3 linked regions of the Canis lupus familiaris genome follow. The protein of the gene in region 3 purifies or fractionates together with the protein of the main gene of each other region. This does not show direct contact. Links are inferred from orthologs where the notes say so. Each region holds a gene or a part of one and is shown on either strand. Other genes may lie near its edges. The genes, in order: API5, THOC1 and DDX39A.

What was found.
Region 1: the proteins of DDX39A (region 3) and API5 fractionate together in Homo sapiens (co-fractionation; 3 studies listed by BioGRID, with this or other methods). This does not show direct contact. The link is inferred for Canis lupus familiaris from reciprocal best matches to the Homo sapiens genes DDX39A and API5.
Region 2: the proteins of DDX39A (region 3) and THOC1 purify together in Homo sapiens (affinity purification with mass spectrometry; 3 studies listed by BioGRID and IntAct, with this or other methods). This does not show direct contact. The link is inferred for Canis lupus familiaris from reciprocal best matches to the Homo sapiens genes DDX39A and THOC1.

Annotation. Positions count from the first base shown.
Region 1 is NC_049239.1:26,730,733-26,734,323, reverse strand, and holds part of API5 (apoptosis inhibitor 5), read left to right. Parts: intron 1-126; coding exon 127-231; intron 232-1,123; coding exon 1,124-1,213; intron 1,214-2,396; coding exon 2,397-2,578; intron 2,579-3,035; exon of another isoform or gene 3,036-3,591. UniProt on the Homo sapiens protein: Antiapoptotic factor that may have a role in protein assembly. Negatively regulates ACIN1. By binding to ACIN1, it suppresses ACIN1 cleavage from CASP3 and ACIN1-mediated DNA fragmentation. Also known to efficiently suppress E2F1-induced apoptosis.
Region 2 is NC_049228.1:67,189,859-67,194,104, reverse strand, and holds the start of THOC1 (THO complex subunit 1), read left to right. Parts: upstream 1-1,438; 5' UTR 1,439-1,532; coding exon 1,533-1,586; intron 1,587-4,230; coding exon 4,231-4,246. UniProt on the Homo sapiens protein: Component of the THO subcomplex of the TREX complex which is thought to couple mRNA transcription, processing and nuclear export, and which specifically associates with spliced mRNA and not with unspliced pre-mRNA.
Region 3 is NC_049241.1:48,594,834-48,598,974, reverse strand, and holds the start of DDX39A (ATP-dependent RNA helicase DDX39A), read right to left. Parts: upstream 2,833-4,141; 5' UTR 2,815-2,832; intron 2,766-2,814; exon of another isoform or gene 1,802-2,765; 5' UTR 1,651-1,801; intron 1,374-1,650; 5' UTR 1,289-1,373; coding exon 1,284-1,288; intron 1-1,283. UniProt on the Homo sapiens protein: Helicase that plays an essential role in mRNA export and is involved in multiple steps in RNA metabolism including alternative splicing. Regulates nuclear mRNA export to the cytoplasm through association with ECD.

The sequences.
Region 1 (3,591 bases), on a different chromosome or scaffold from region 3:
TGTATTGTATTTATAGCCACAGTACTTGATGTTGTCATGCTCAGCATTTATTAAATAATATACTATTCTATGTGAAAGAATATCCCCGCCTTTTTTGACAACTCATTGTTCTTTGGATTTTTACAGAAAAATGTGCATTCCACAAGGTTTGTGACTTACTTCTGTGAGCAGGTTCTTCCCAACCTCAGTTCCTTGACTACCCCAGTGGAGGGTCTTGATATACAGTTGGAGGTAAGAGAAAAATGTCTTCTTTAGTACTAAAAAGGCATTCCCATATTTTAACATAAATATAAGCCACTAAGGTAGAGACCTGATTTCTAAGAGAGTAAAGGTGTTAGAGCTAGCTAGTAATCTGTCTCAGGGTTAATCACATAGGAATGCTTTATGAATTTAATGAAAGTTTGTTGCATTGGGAAAGCACTGCCTGTAGTGTTCATGATTCTCTTACTCTTTGTAGCTTTAATACTTTTAAATAAGGTGCTTAATTCATGACTGTTCCTATCTCTATCCATAATTGATAGAATCAGATTTAAACTGGCTTAACACAAAATATCCTTTATCCCTACTCCAGTATAGTTGATGACTCTCTCCCTTGTATCTGAACTATAGTGTACATATACTTTTTTTCCACAGCACATGTAACACTTCACATTTATCTCACATTTAACTGACTCATCTCCATAGCCCCAGAGTCTAGTGCAGAGTCTGATTCTGAAAGGCACTTAATAATGATTGTTGAATTGAGCTGAAATGTGGAAATGTATGTGCCATTTTCTCATAGGTTTTTGGAATACACAAGAGTCCCACTGTGTACGGACACTGTCATTTGCTTCAGATGTCCTGGGTTTGGCTTATTAGACTGGGATTGAGTAAAGGAGAGATGGACCTCAAGAATACTTGCAATTACCAATACTTTGAGTTAGTGTCCAGAGACTAACTTTAATAGCAAATGAAGCCCATTCTAAATGTAAATAATTCTTTGCTGTTAAGAGTTTTCCTAAGTGTCTCTTCATAGTACAATATTAAGCTGTAGCAAAAGTCTTAAAAAGTTACCTAGAATCATTATTTTACAGCCCTTGCTCATTCAAAAAAAATGCTATTAACAGTGAATTCTGTATTTTAGGTATTGAAACTCTTGGCAGAAATGAGTTCATTTTGTGGTGACATGGAAAAGCTAGAAACAAATTTAAGGAAACTATTTGACAAGTTATTGGTAAGGACTTTTTTTCTTTTCTTATGGCATAGTCAGTGTGTAATCCCAGAGTCTAATAGTGTGGTGTAATTTCTAGAGAACCAACTTTTGAAATTCAGATTGGGTAGAGTAATTAGAATGATTCTAGCAGGTGTTTTTAGTTGTTCGGGCCACATGTTCTCTACTTTTAAAAGAAAATCTTTGGCATTTCTTTTGTTGATGCTTTGCATAAAAGATAACAGGGTTTTTATAGTAGATCTTTTTGGTATTCCTTTATCAAAATATTTTTCACATTTGCTCCAGGTTGCTGCACAAGGCCAAGTAGCTATAGCTGCTAGGAAATAAAGTCATTCAAGTCATAATTTTGGAGAAAATAGGCCATCTGCTAAAATCATTTTCAACATCACCAAGTGATTTCCTTGTTGGATGTAAGCAGTTGTATACCTGACACAATGAGTGATAAGCATTAGACCTATAATGTGATAAAGGGAGTCATCCAGCATCTGGAGCTCTTCCAGACATGTAACGCCTACCAGGGGCTCGCAGCACTGGTATCGAATGCGTTTGGCAGTACTTGTAACGTAATGAGAGTCAAACAATGTAGGAAAATGTTCATAAAACATTTTTGGAATTACCTTAATAAAATGGTTAAAAGCATCAGCTTTTGGTGGCAAATCTAGATTGAATCCTGATTCTTCAGCTTACTGTTTCACCATAGAAAAATTACAGGGGTGCCTGGGTGGTTCAGTGGTTGAGCACCTGCCTTTGGCTCAGGGCATGACCCCGGGGTCCCAGGATCGAGTCCCATGTCGGGCTCCCTGCAGAGAGCCTGCTTCTCCCTCTGCCTGTGTCTCTACCTCTTTCTGTGTCTCTCATGAAGAAATAAATAAAATGTTTAAAAAAAAATTACCTACACTCAGAACTTCAGTTACTTCATTTGTATAAGTGTTTAATAAAGGTTATCTACTTCACTGTCAGTAATAATAGTAGTAATGGTGGTGGTGGTGGTAGCAGCAGCTATCTAATGTGGAGGAGGCTAGATCATTGATCCAAAAAGTAGAAGGGATAGCTTACCTAAATTTCTGATTTTGGTAGTTTTTAATGCTTCATGCCTTAAAAGCATGCCCTGCAGTTACTTCAGTGTATGTTTATAATTAGAGCATTTATAGCAGATTGCAAATATCTCTATATTTTTATCTCTTAGGAGTACATGCCTCTCCCTCCAGAAGAAGCAGAAAATGGGGAGAATGCTGGTAATGAAGAACCCAAGCTGCAGTTCAGCTATGTGGAATGTTTGTTGTACAGCTTCCACCAGCTGGGCAGAAAACTTCCAGATTTTTTAACAGCCAAGCTAAATGCAGAAAAACTGAAAGATTTTAAAATTAGGTGATGTATAATTGAAGTGGTCCGATCGTTGGCAAAGATGATGGTTATCTTGATATTCCCTTGGTTTTCTTTTCCTTTTACAAGAGCTGTCTCCCAACCCTGCCTTACCCCGTGGGACAAAATGGAACACCCTCAAACAGGAATGTATATAAACCTGTGGCATAACAAATCCAGGTCAGGGAAGGAACTTTTTCAAAAACAGACTCACTCTCCTCACTTGCTTTATAATCTTGAGCAGGTTCCCAACCTCTCTAACTTCCAGCAGTTACTTAATGATAACAGCACCTGCCTCATTGAGCACAGTGCCTGGCACATCGTGGATACTCTGTAAACTCGTGGTTAATGTCTTAGAGTGTTCTAGAGGAGCAACACTAGAGAAATCATACGTTATTTTCATGAACACATTTCATATTGAATCATTTTATTAACAACTTCACATCTTAAACTTTGAAATGGTTGGCCACTTGCATCATCTGTTACCATCCTCTACTCTTTGGTAAGACAATGGTTTAATACTTGGTAAAACATTTGATCAGAAGCAGCAAGTTAAGAAATTACTCCAAAAATTAAAAAATGATGCCAGGTTATTAAGCAGAGTTTCCTGGAAGGCTATATACTGCCTTGACTTGAAAAAAGTATTACTTTGAAGTCTTTGAGATTTATATGTGTTTATAATAAATTCTCCAATCTGCGGTTTGGTTTTATTTTTAACTAGACCTTGAGGGTCAAACACATCCCTTGTTAGCAGATAAATACATAGAGGTTAAAGTGACTTGTCTAAGGTCACTTGACCTTCAGTTGGCCACTGAAAGAGTAGAACCCAGGCCACCTGATTCTTATCCGTGGCTCCTGAAGTTGGTTCACTCTGACCATGCCTTGCATTTTGACATAACAAGAACAGTGTTACAAATCTTTCCCTGGCCAGGTTGAGTATGGATTTACTCGCATTTTTGGTAAAGGAAAACTGCTTTTATTTCACTTATTTATGTATCTCTTGTGATCATATATTGATA
Region 2 (4,246 bases), on a different chromosome or scaffold from region 3:
TTTTTTATTTATTCATGAGAGACACACAGACAGAGAGGCGGAGACATGGCAGAGGGAGAAGCAGGCTCCCCGTGAGGAAGCCCAACGTGGGACTCAATTCCGGAGCCCTGAGCCACCCAGGCGTCCCCAGAAAAATTATTTACTTCTTAGGTCTTAGCTGTGCTCCAGTTAATAATAATCTGTAATATAATAATAATCTTATTACATCAGCTACCTATTAAATCAGTTAATACCAGGTTTGGGTTTTGTTGTTTTTGTTTTTGTTTTTTTCCAGCCGATTTGGAATTTAAGTCATACACTCAAACTTGAATGATTCAGTTGATTCCTAAACAAGATTGTAATGCTTCAGGTAGCCACCACTGTCTGACAATTCCAACTTATGGGCAAAACTATGCAAAGTTATCTTTTGGTTAAGCTTCCTGTATTCTTATTAGATGCCAATGAAGGGAGAAGGTATACATGGGAGGGAACAGTACTGAGTGTTCCGGTCGGTGCTGCTTTCTCCGCAGCATGATTCCAACCGACAAAGTTAGTGCCGCTTGGCGTCTCCCTGGCCACGCCTCTCCAGTGAGGCGACAGGGGAGGAAACTGCTGAGGAGAAAGCGTTTTTTGTAACGGGTGCCGCCCGTTTGCAAATGAGCGCCGAGAACTGCAAATTCTCGGCAGAGGCCTCTCTATGCAGAAAAGTCAACGGACACTAAGATACTGACTGACAAGGAGGGGCGGCCCGGGTGGCTCAGCGGTTTAGCGCCGCCGTCAGCCCAGGGCGTGATCCTGGAGTCCCGGGATCGAGTCCCACGTCGGGCTCCCTTCGTGGAGCCTGCTTCTCCCTCTGCCTGGGTCTCTCATGAATAAACAAGTAAGATCTTAAAAAAAAAAAAAAAACTGACAATGATACTCCTAGTCCCATAGAAGCCACATTTGCTTTCATTATTTCATTTGTGCTTTTCCACAGTCCTGTAAAACGGGCATTATTTCTACTTCACGGAAGAGGGAACTGCTCCTAAGCTACAGGGTCCGTGGACTAACTACTCAGCAAGGCAGCAGCTAAGAGCACTCCCTCGGCGAGAATGACTGCCGTCCGGGGCTCACAGGCACCGCCCCCACTTCACCCGCCAGGGGCACCCCCGGATGACCCACCTGCCCTGGATTCCCAGGCCGAGGTGACCTTCCCGCGCGACTCAGTAAGCCTGACTGGCCGCCATTCGCCCAGCTTCCCCAGAGCCGGAAAATCACCGCAGGTGCGCGCGAGGGCCTAGTCCCCGCCAGGCAGCACCACGCCGACAGGGCCAGGACGCCCCTATGCCGTCACCCCGAGGGCGCTCCACGAATCCGGACCGAGCACGCTGTGGCTGACTCAGCCCCGCCAACGGCCGGCCGAACTGTCACCAGCGAGGCTCCCGGCCGCCAGCGGGCCTAGCCCTCGGCTCACAGGCCGCTCTAGCCGCGCTCGGACAGCGCGATCTCGCTGCTCCCGCCTGACGTCATCGGCGGGCGCCGCAGCGCGGTGGCGGGCACGCGCAGCCGGGAAGATGTCTCCGACGCCGCCGCTCTTCAGTTTGCCCGAAGCGCGGACGCGGTTCACGGTTAGTGGGCTGTGGGAGGGTGCGGCTCTGACCTGGCTCTATCTTTTTCCTCCTCTCCCAGAAAATACTCGAATTTTGCCCTGGAGTAAGGCGGGAACTGAGGTGTGTGCCCCGCGGTGTCGGCTCCCGGCCCCGTCGGGGGCGGGGAGGTGGGAAAGACGCATTACTTGTCTCTTCCGTGCGTCCCGTGCTGTCCGCCTCCGTCCTCCTGTCGGCAGGTCTCTGAACCTCGCGGTCTGGGCGCCTTTGTGCCCCGCGTGGAGGGCTCATCCGCACACGACCTCCGGTGCGGTCGAGCTCTTCCGCAGTGCTCGCTTAGCCGGACAGGTGTCTCCAAAATTGCTTACGGGTGAGGGCGGGAGTGATCTTAGCCCAGGGGACTGGCTCGCGCTCCGCCTCCTCAGCTGCCAAGTCGTGGATCTCGGTCGCTTATTCACCAGCCTTTAGCCTTCCGTATCTCGCTCCCAAGAGATTAACGAGATCCTAAGTAGGAAAAGGCAGAGAGATCAGCTTGGGGATTGTTGCTGGATGTCATTTTATACTTACACAGTTTGGAAGAGTAGTTTGAGCATTTGGGGAAAGCCTTACAGAGCGTTTTCATGTTAGCGTATTTAACTCTTTGAATAGCACTGTGAAGTAGGCAAAGTTCTATTAAAGCCTGGTAGATGAGCTGGAAATTGAGATCACACCCCCTCCCCCCAAAAAAAGTAAGGTGATGTACTTCGCTCGTGTTTCTGACGTCAGACCCAGTGTTCATTTTACGTTGCCCATCAGAGCATGAAGAACCCTGTTCTGAGTTGCTTGCCTGTATTTGTTTTTAGCATTTGCGCCAATATTTCAAGTTATGATTCAACTACTTGAATAGTTAACTGTGCTTACCTAGTTTTAGTGACGCCAGAATAAAGAGTTTTCTTGTGTGCACATTATTTTTTTATCCCATGCAAAGAGCGTTCGTTTGTTAACCAAGTAATATCTCGTTTATGTCTTCAGAATCGTTTTCTTTCTGTGTATTTTTCTGCAATCCCTGGTGCTCTGAAATTCTGCTAAGAGTAATTGTTAGAAATATCCAATATGGGGACACCTGGGTGGCTCAGCGGTTGAGCGTCTGCCTTCGGCTCAGGGCGTGATCCCCGCGTTTGGGATCGAGTCCTACATTGGACTCCCTGTGAGGAGCCTGTTTCTCTCTCTGCCTGTGTCTCTGCCCCTCTCTCTGTGTCTCTCATGAATAAATAAATAAAATCTAAAAAAAAAAAAAAAAGAAATACCGAATATACTAGTCCTGGAGGGGACCATTTAATTTGAGATCATCTAGTCCCGTGCTTCTTAAGGTGTAATGTACAGTGGAATCACCTGGAGATCTTGTTAAATGTAGATTCTGGTGTAGTAGGTCTGAAATAGAGCCTGAAAGTCTGTATTTCTAAGTTCCCAGGCATCTACAACAGCTTGCTTGCTTATTTATTTATTTATTTATTTATTTATTTATTTATTTATTTATTTATTTATAAGAGGCACGGGGTGGGGGCGGGAGGAGGGGTGCAGAGACACAGGCAGAAGGAAAAGCAGGCTCCATGCAGGGAGCCGGCAGTGGGACTCGATCCAGGGTCTCCAAGATCAGGCCCTGGGCTGAAGGCAGCGCCAAACTGCTGGGCCACCAGGGCTGCCCGACAGCCCCCTTATTTAACTGGTAAAGAAATTGAAGCACAAAGAGATAAGGAGATATGCCGAGGATTATACAGTCTACTCTTGGCATATGCCGAGGATTATACAGTCTACTCTTGGCAGAGTCAGGAACGGACATTTCCAGTGTAAATCGAATTCCTGGGGGTAGTGAGATAACTTTCCAAGTGTATGTGAGTTTCTACAGAATGAAAGACTTTGCAGTATTTTTGTCTTTCATATTTCTTTTTTTTTTAAGGTTTTATTTTTAAATAATTTCTACACCTAAAGTAGGGCTTGACTTACAACCCGGATGTCAGAAGTTACATGGTCTAGCTACTGAGTCAGAATCCCCTTTTTATTATCTTGACTTTCATTTATGACTAAGACAATTAGCAGGTATTCAGTGTTGACTGTGTGTTAGAGACTTGGGCTGAGCAAAACTAGAGAAGATGGGACTTGAGATGGGTCTTGAAGAATGGATAGGATTTGCATGAGCAGGTGGGAATAACAGTGAATGAATACACTAGAGTGAGCTTGGTAGAAAATAATGAAAAAATGTCTAGACCTTAGTGGAAACTGTATGTTAGATGGTAGTGGGAAATAAGATTGGATAGATTGAAGGTGATAGCATCAAGGACCTTGAGAGGGAGCTGTGAAATTTTAAAACCAAAGCCTGTAAATAAGGAGCCATTTGGAGATTTAGAAAAAAAAAAAAAGTAGAATACTCTCATGAATGTGATATGTAAAGAAATGGTAAGGAGGGAAAGCCTGGAATAAGAAAGTCTAGTTGGTAAGCTCTTGTCAAATTTAAAGTGATTAGAGTTTGCATCATTAAGTGGCATTTGAATAAGAATTATTGATGGAATGACTGATAGTTTTTCCCAAGTGTAAGTGTTTCTAGTTAAATATACTGTTGATGAGTGATGTTTTTCAGTAAACAATAGGCAAAAATCTTTCCACTTACATGCTATTTTTATTTTTCTAGAAGTCTACCAGAGAGG
Region 3 (4,141 bases):
TACTCTCACGAACAGGCTTCCCATTGGGCCCAAGCCAATAAAAGTAGAGCTGAGATGGTAAAGAGAATACAAAACTTGCTCACCTCCTGGCTTTATTTAATCCAATACATGCACAGCACCTACTGGATGTAAGCTACAAGGGACCCAAAAGTGAGATTATGGTCTTTTGTCCTCCCAACCCCACCCCAGCCTCCAAATCCAGAGCAAGGAAGTGGTGAAGCAGTCCCTCTTCTTCCTGAGCTGGATGTGGAGGGTCCTGGGCCCACTTTTTGGTCCTCCCTCTCTCATTCTCTCTGCGCCTTCATCCAGCCCCAGGGCTTTAATCACATCTGTGTGGAGAGGTCCCAAACTTATGTCTCTGGCCATAAGTTACCCAGATCCCCTCAACAACAGCCTGGTTACCCAGATGCCTCATTTACATCTCCCCTTGGAAGCTGGACTCAAAAGACCCAGAGCAAAACCCTCTGTTTCTTTTTTTTCCTTTATTTATTTATGATAGTCACACAGAGAGAGAGAGAGAGAGAGAGAGAGGCAGAGACACAGGCAGAGGGAGAAGCAGGCTCCATGCACCGGGAGCCCGACGTGGGATTCGATCCCGGGTCTCCAGGATCACGCCCTGGGCCAAAGGCAGGCGCCAAACCCCTGCGCCACCCAGGGGTCCCCCCTCTGTTTCTTCCTGCAGACCTGCTTCTCAAAAAAGGCAATTCCATTCTCTCACTGGCTTTTTCTCTCCTCCAGTCCAGTCAGCCCAACAGGACAATCAGGTCACCTCTCACCCCTGCCACCTCACTGGTCTCAAGCTACCTCTACCGTTCTTTCTTTTTATATATAAATAATCTCTATACCCAACACAGGGCTCCAACTCTGGACCCCAAGATCAAGAGTCATGTGCTCTTCTGAATGAGCCAGCCAGGTGCCCCTTCACCTTTCTTTTAAAATTAGAAGTTTTACTGAGATATTCACAAGCCTACTATTCACTCCTTAAAATGTACATACAGTTCACTGGTTTTCAATATTTTTAGAACGGTCAGAACTATGTGGAATGACCACTGCAGCTGGAGTGCATCACACATTTCGGTCAGGTCAAAAAGACCGGGACCCTTTACCTGTCTTCCCTCCCACCCCCACCCCGTTGGCAACAGCTAACCTACTTTGTTTTCTATGAATCTGCTGGTTTTGGACAGCTCATAAATGGAATCATACAATATGCCACCATTCATACAGCTTCTTTTACTTGGCATGTTTTGACATTCATCTGCTCACTGTGTGGTTTGCATCCGTACCTCATTCCTTGTCAGAGTTGAACATTCCCCTGTACAGGCATACCAGTTTATCCACGGTCAGTTGATGATTTGAGCTCCATCACCCTGTGCCTGGATTATGGGAATAGTCTCCTCATTGGTCTTCCCCTTTTCCATCCCCTTCCATCTTCTCTCCCCAAAGTGTAAAAGTTACATCAGAGAATGTCACCCCTCTGTTCAAAACCCTCCACAAGCTCCCACTGTGCTCAGAACACTCAGGAATCCTCACCATGACCCATCAGACCCTACATGAACCGACCGCCCCTCTACACTCAAACCTCACTTCCTCCATTGCCCTCACTCACTGGCCTTGTTGCTGTGCCTCAAACATGCCTCAGCACCTTTGTACCTGCTGTTTCTGCTGCCCAAAGTGGTCAGGATTCCCCTCACTTCCGTCAGGCCTCTGACTCCAGGACATCTCTTGCCAGCCCCGAGTAGAAAAGCACCCTCTTAAAAGTCAGGCCTGCCAGCCCAGAGCCTAAAGCACTCAACAGCAATAGCTGAATGAATAGAATTAGAATTCAGGTTTCAAGGCAAGGTTAGGGGCTAAAGCAAGCATATATCCTTAACTGATTCTTGAAAAAAGTAATCTGAACAGGGAGGGGTTATTTCTCAGGTAGCAGAGAAAAGAACAGGAGCTAGGAAAGGTCAGCCCCAAAGAAAGTACCAGGCCCTTGTGAGGAATGGAGAGCAAGACTGGCTGGCTGAAGCAGAGGTAGAGGACAAACTTGGGAAAGCTGATCAAGTCGAGGGCATTCACGCTTTATTCCCTAATAGGGAATCACTGATGAGATTATTTTTCACTGATGAGATTTTTTGAGTTGCGTGACTCAATTGCCCCAAGCAATTTACTCCAAGAGTAGAAAGATGAGTGCGGGCGAGAACAGCAACAGGGAAAACCAGTCACTAAGAATTAACCACAGTGGGGGTGTTATGAGGGAAGAATAAGGTGGATCATTCAACAGGGCAGGGCCACCTCTGGGGTAATCCCTGGGCAGAGAAAGCCTAGTCACCTACTCTGTTAAACCCGGGTGCCCCAAGAGGTGATGGTGCATTTTAGAGAAAAATACAGGTCAAAAGAAGGCGTTTTGTTATTTAGGGGGGCGATATTAAGGGGCGGCCCGAGTTTGACGAACAAGATTTTCTTGGAAGTGGCTACACAAAAATCTAAAGCTCAAAACAAATTGGAGGAGGAGAGGACGGTGGGGGTTAGTCCCACCCAGCGGGGGTGGCTGCGACGGCTGAGGCCCCCGGAGCAGACCAACTGGAAGGCTGACGCCCGAGAAGTGTCAATCCAGACACGCCCACGGGTACCCATTCCCTCTCAAAGTGCCTCCAGGGAAGACTTCCACCTCGGAGTCGGCCTCTGAGACATCTTTTCTGCTCTAAATCTCTGGAACCCCGAATTCCCTAAACACAGAGCAAGAACACAACAGAGTCCCCTGTCGTGGCTACAAGCTCGGGTTCCTCCCACCGCAACCCCAGGCCCTGGCGTCACCCCCCACACACACACCCACACCCCGAATCCCTCCCCAAACGGCCTAGGCAGTCTCCTCGAGCAGAGAGGATTCCTCGCCAAGTCGGGGTCGACCCGCGGGCCGCCATGACAGCCCCACTCCCGGAAGCGGGATGACTCCCCGCGCGCCAACAGCCACCGGCGCCCCCCCCCCGGGCCGCGCATGCGCCGTGGCGTTCAACGGCTGCTGCCGCGCGCGGCTGACGCCCAAACCGCTCCGCCCCCCCACCACTCGTCTCGCGCCCCCTCCTCTTCCTCTTCCCCTCAACCCCCGGCGTCTCCCCTCGCCCGCTCGCCCGCAGGTCCGAAGTCTCCGCACCGCGCCCCCGCGCCCCAGACCCACCGCTCACCTGCTTCCCCGTTCGCCTCCGCGTGCTGCTGCGAGGAAAGCCGTCCGACTCTGGTTACCGGCCGCGCGCCCCGACACGAGTTGCAGCGCTTCCTGCCTCCTACGTCGGACTGCGGGTCTGCTCACTGGACGGCTGGCTTTTCACTCAAGAGAGGCGGAAGCGGTGATTGGGTCCTGCAGGAGGCGTCTGGAGGCTATTGGTGAAAGCAGCAAACGGGGCGTGCCCCATGCCTCGGATTCATTGGTCAATCTAAAAGTAGGCGCCCTGGGCTGAGGCCGACGTGAGCCCGTGCGCTGCCACGCGATTGGCGGTTTGCCCTTGGTGGGCGTCGCCATGTTTAGTACTGGCAGCCGAAGCCGGGGAGGATTTACCCTGTGCGAGTATCTCGCGTTGCTGTTGCGTGGCTCCTACGCCTGGCTGTGGAATTCAGGGCTTTGGAAGGGAGCATCAACCCGCGGTGGCCTCTCGGTTCTCCAGGGTGGGGGCTCTGAAGGAGTCCTGAAAAGGATCGGAGACCGGAATGACTCCAGCGTGGAGGGGACGGTTTGCGCCGGCTGTGCCAGCTCCCCTTTGCTGAGAGTCTCGTCCTGAGTCAAATCGTGTGCAGGTGGCCATCCAGGCTCAGGCCACAAAACCCAAACCAGAAGGGTTTTCGTTATAAAGCTTTTTTTTTTTTTTTTTTTTTAAATTTTACTTTTCCCCTTGTATTACATTTTCCCAACTTTACCCACGTCCCATTGTCTCCCCTACCCCCGGTACTTTACTAAGGTAAATGTTATAGTAAAAAGAAAAAGTACACGGAGTTTTGAAGATTGACAGGCAAGTGACAGTTGCCCAGGGAAAATATAGAACATTTCCATCCCCGCAGAAAGTCCTGTTGTGCCCCTCTCTGGTGAACCGCACCCCTTCCCCCTAACCAGGCAAAAGACGATGTAGATTTCTATAATTCTGATCTTGAATTTCATATAAACAGA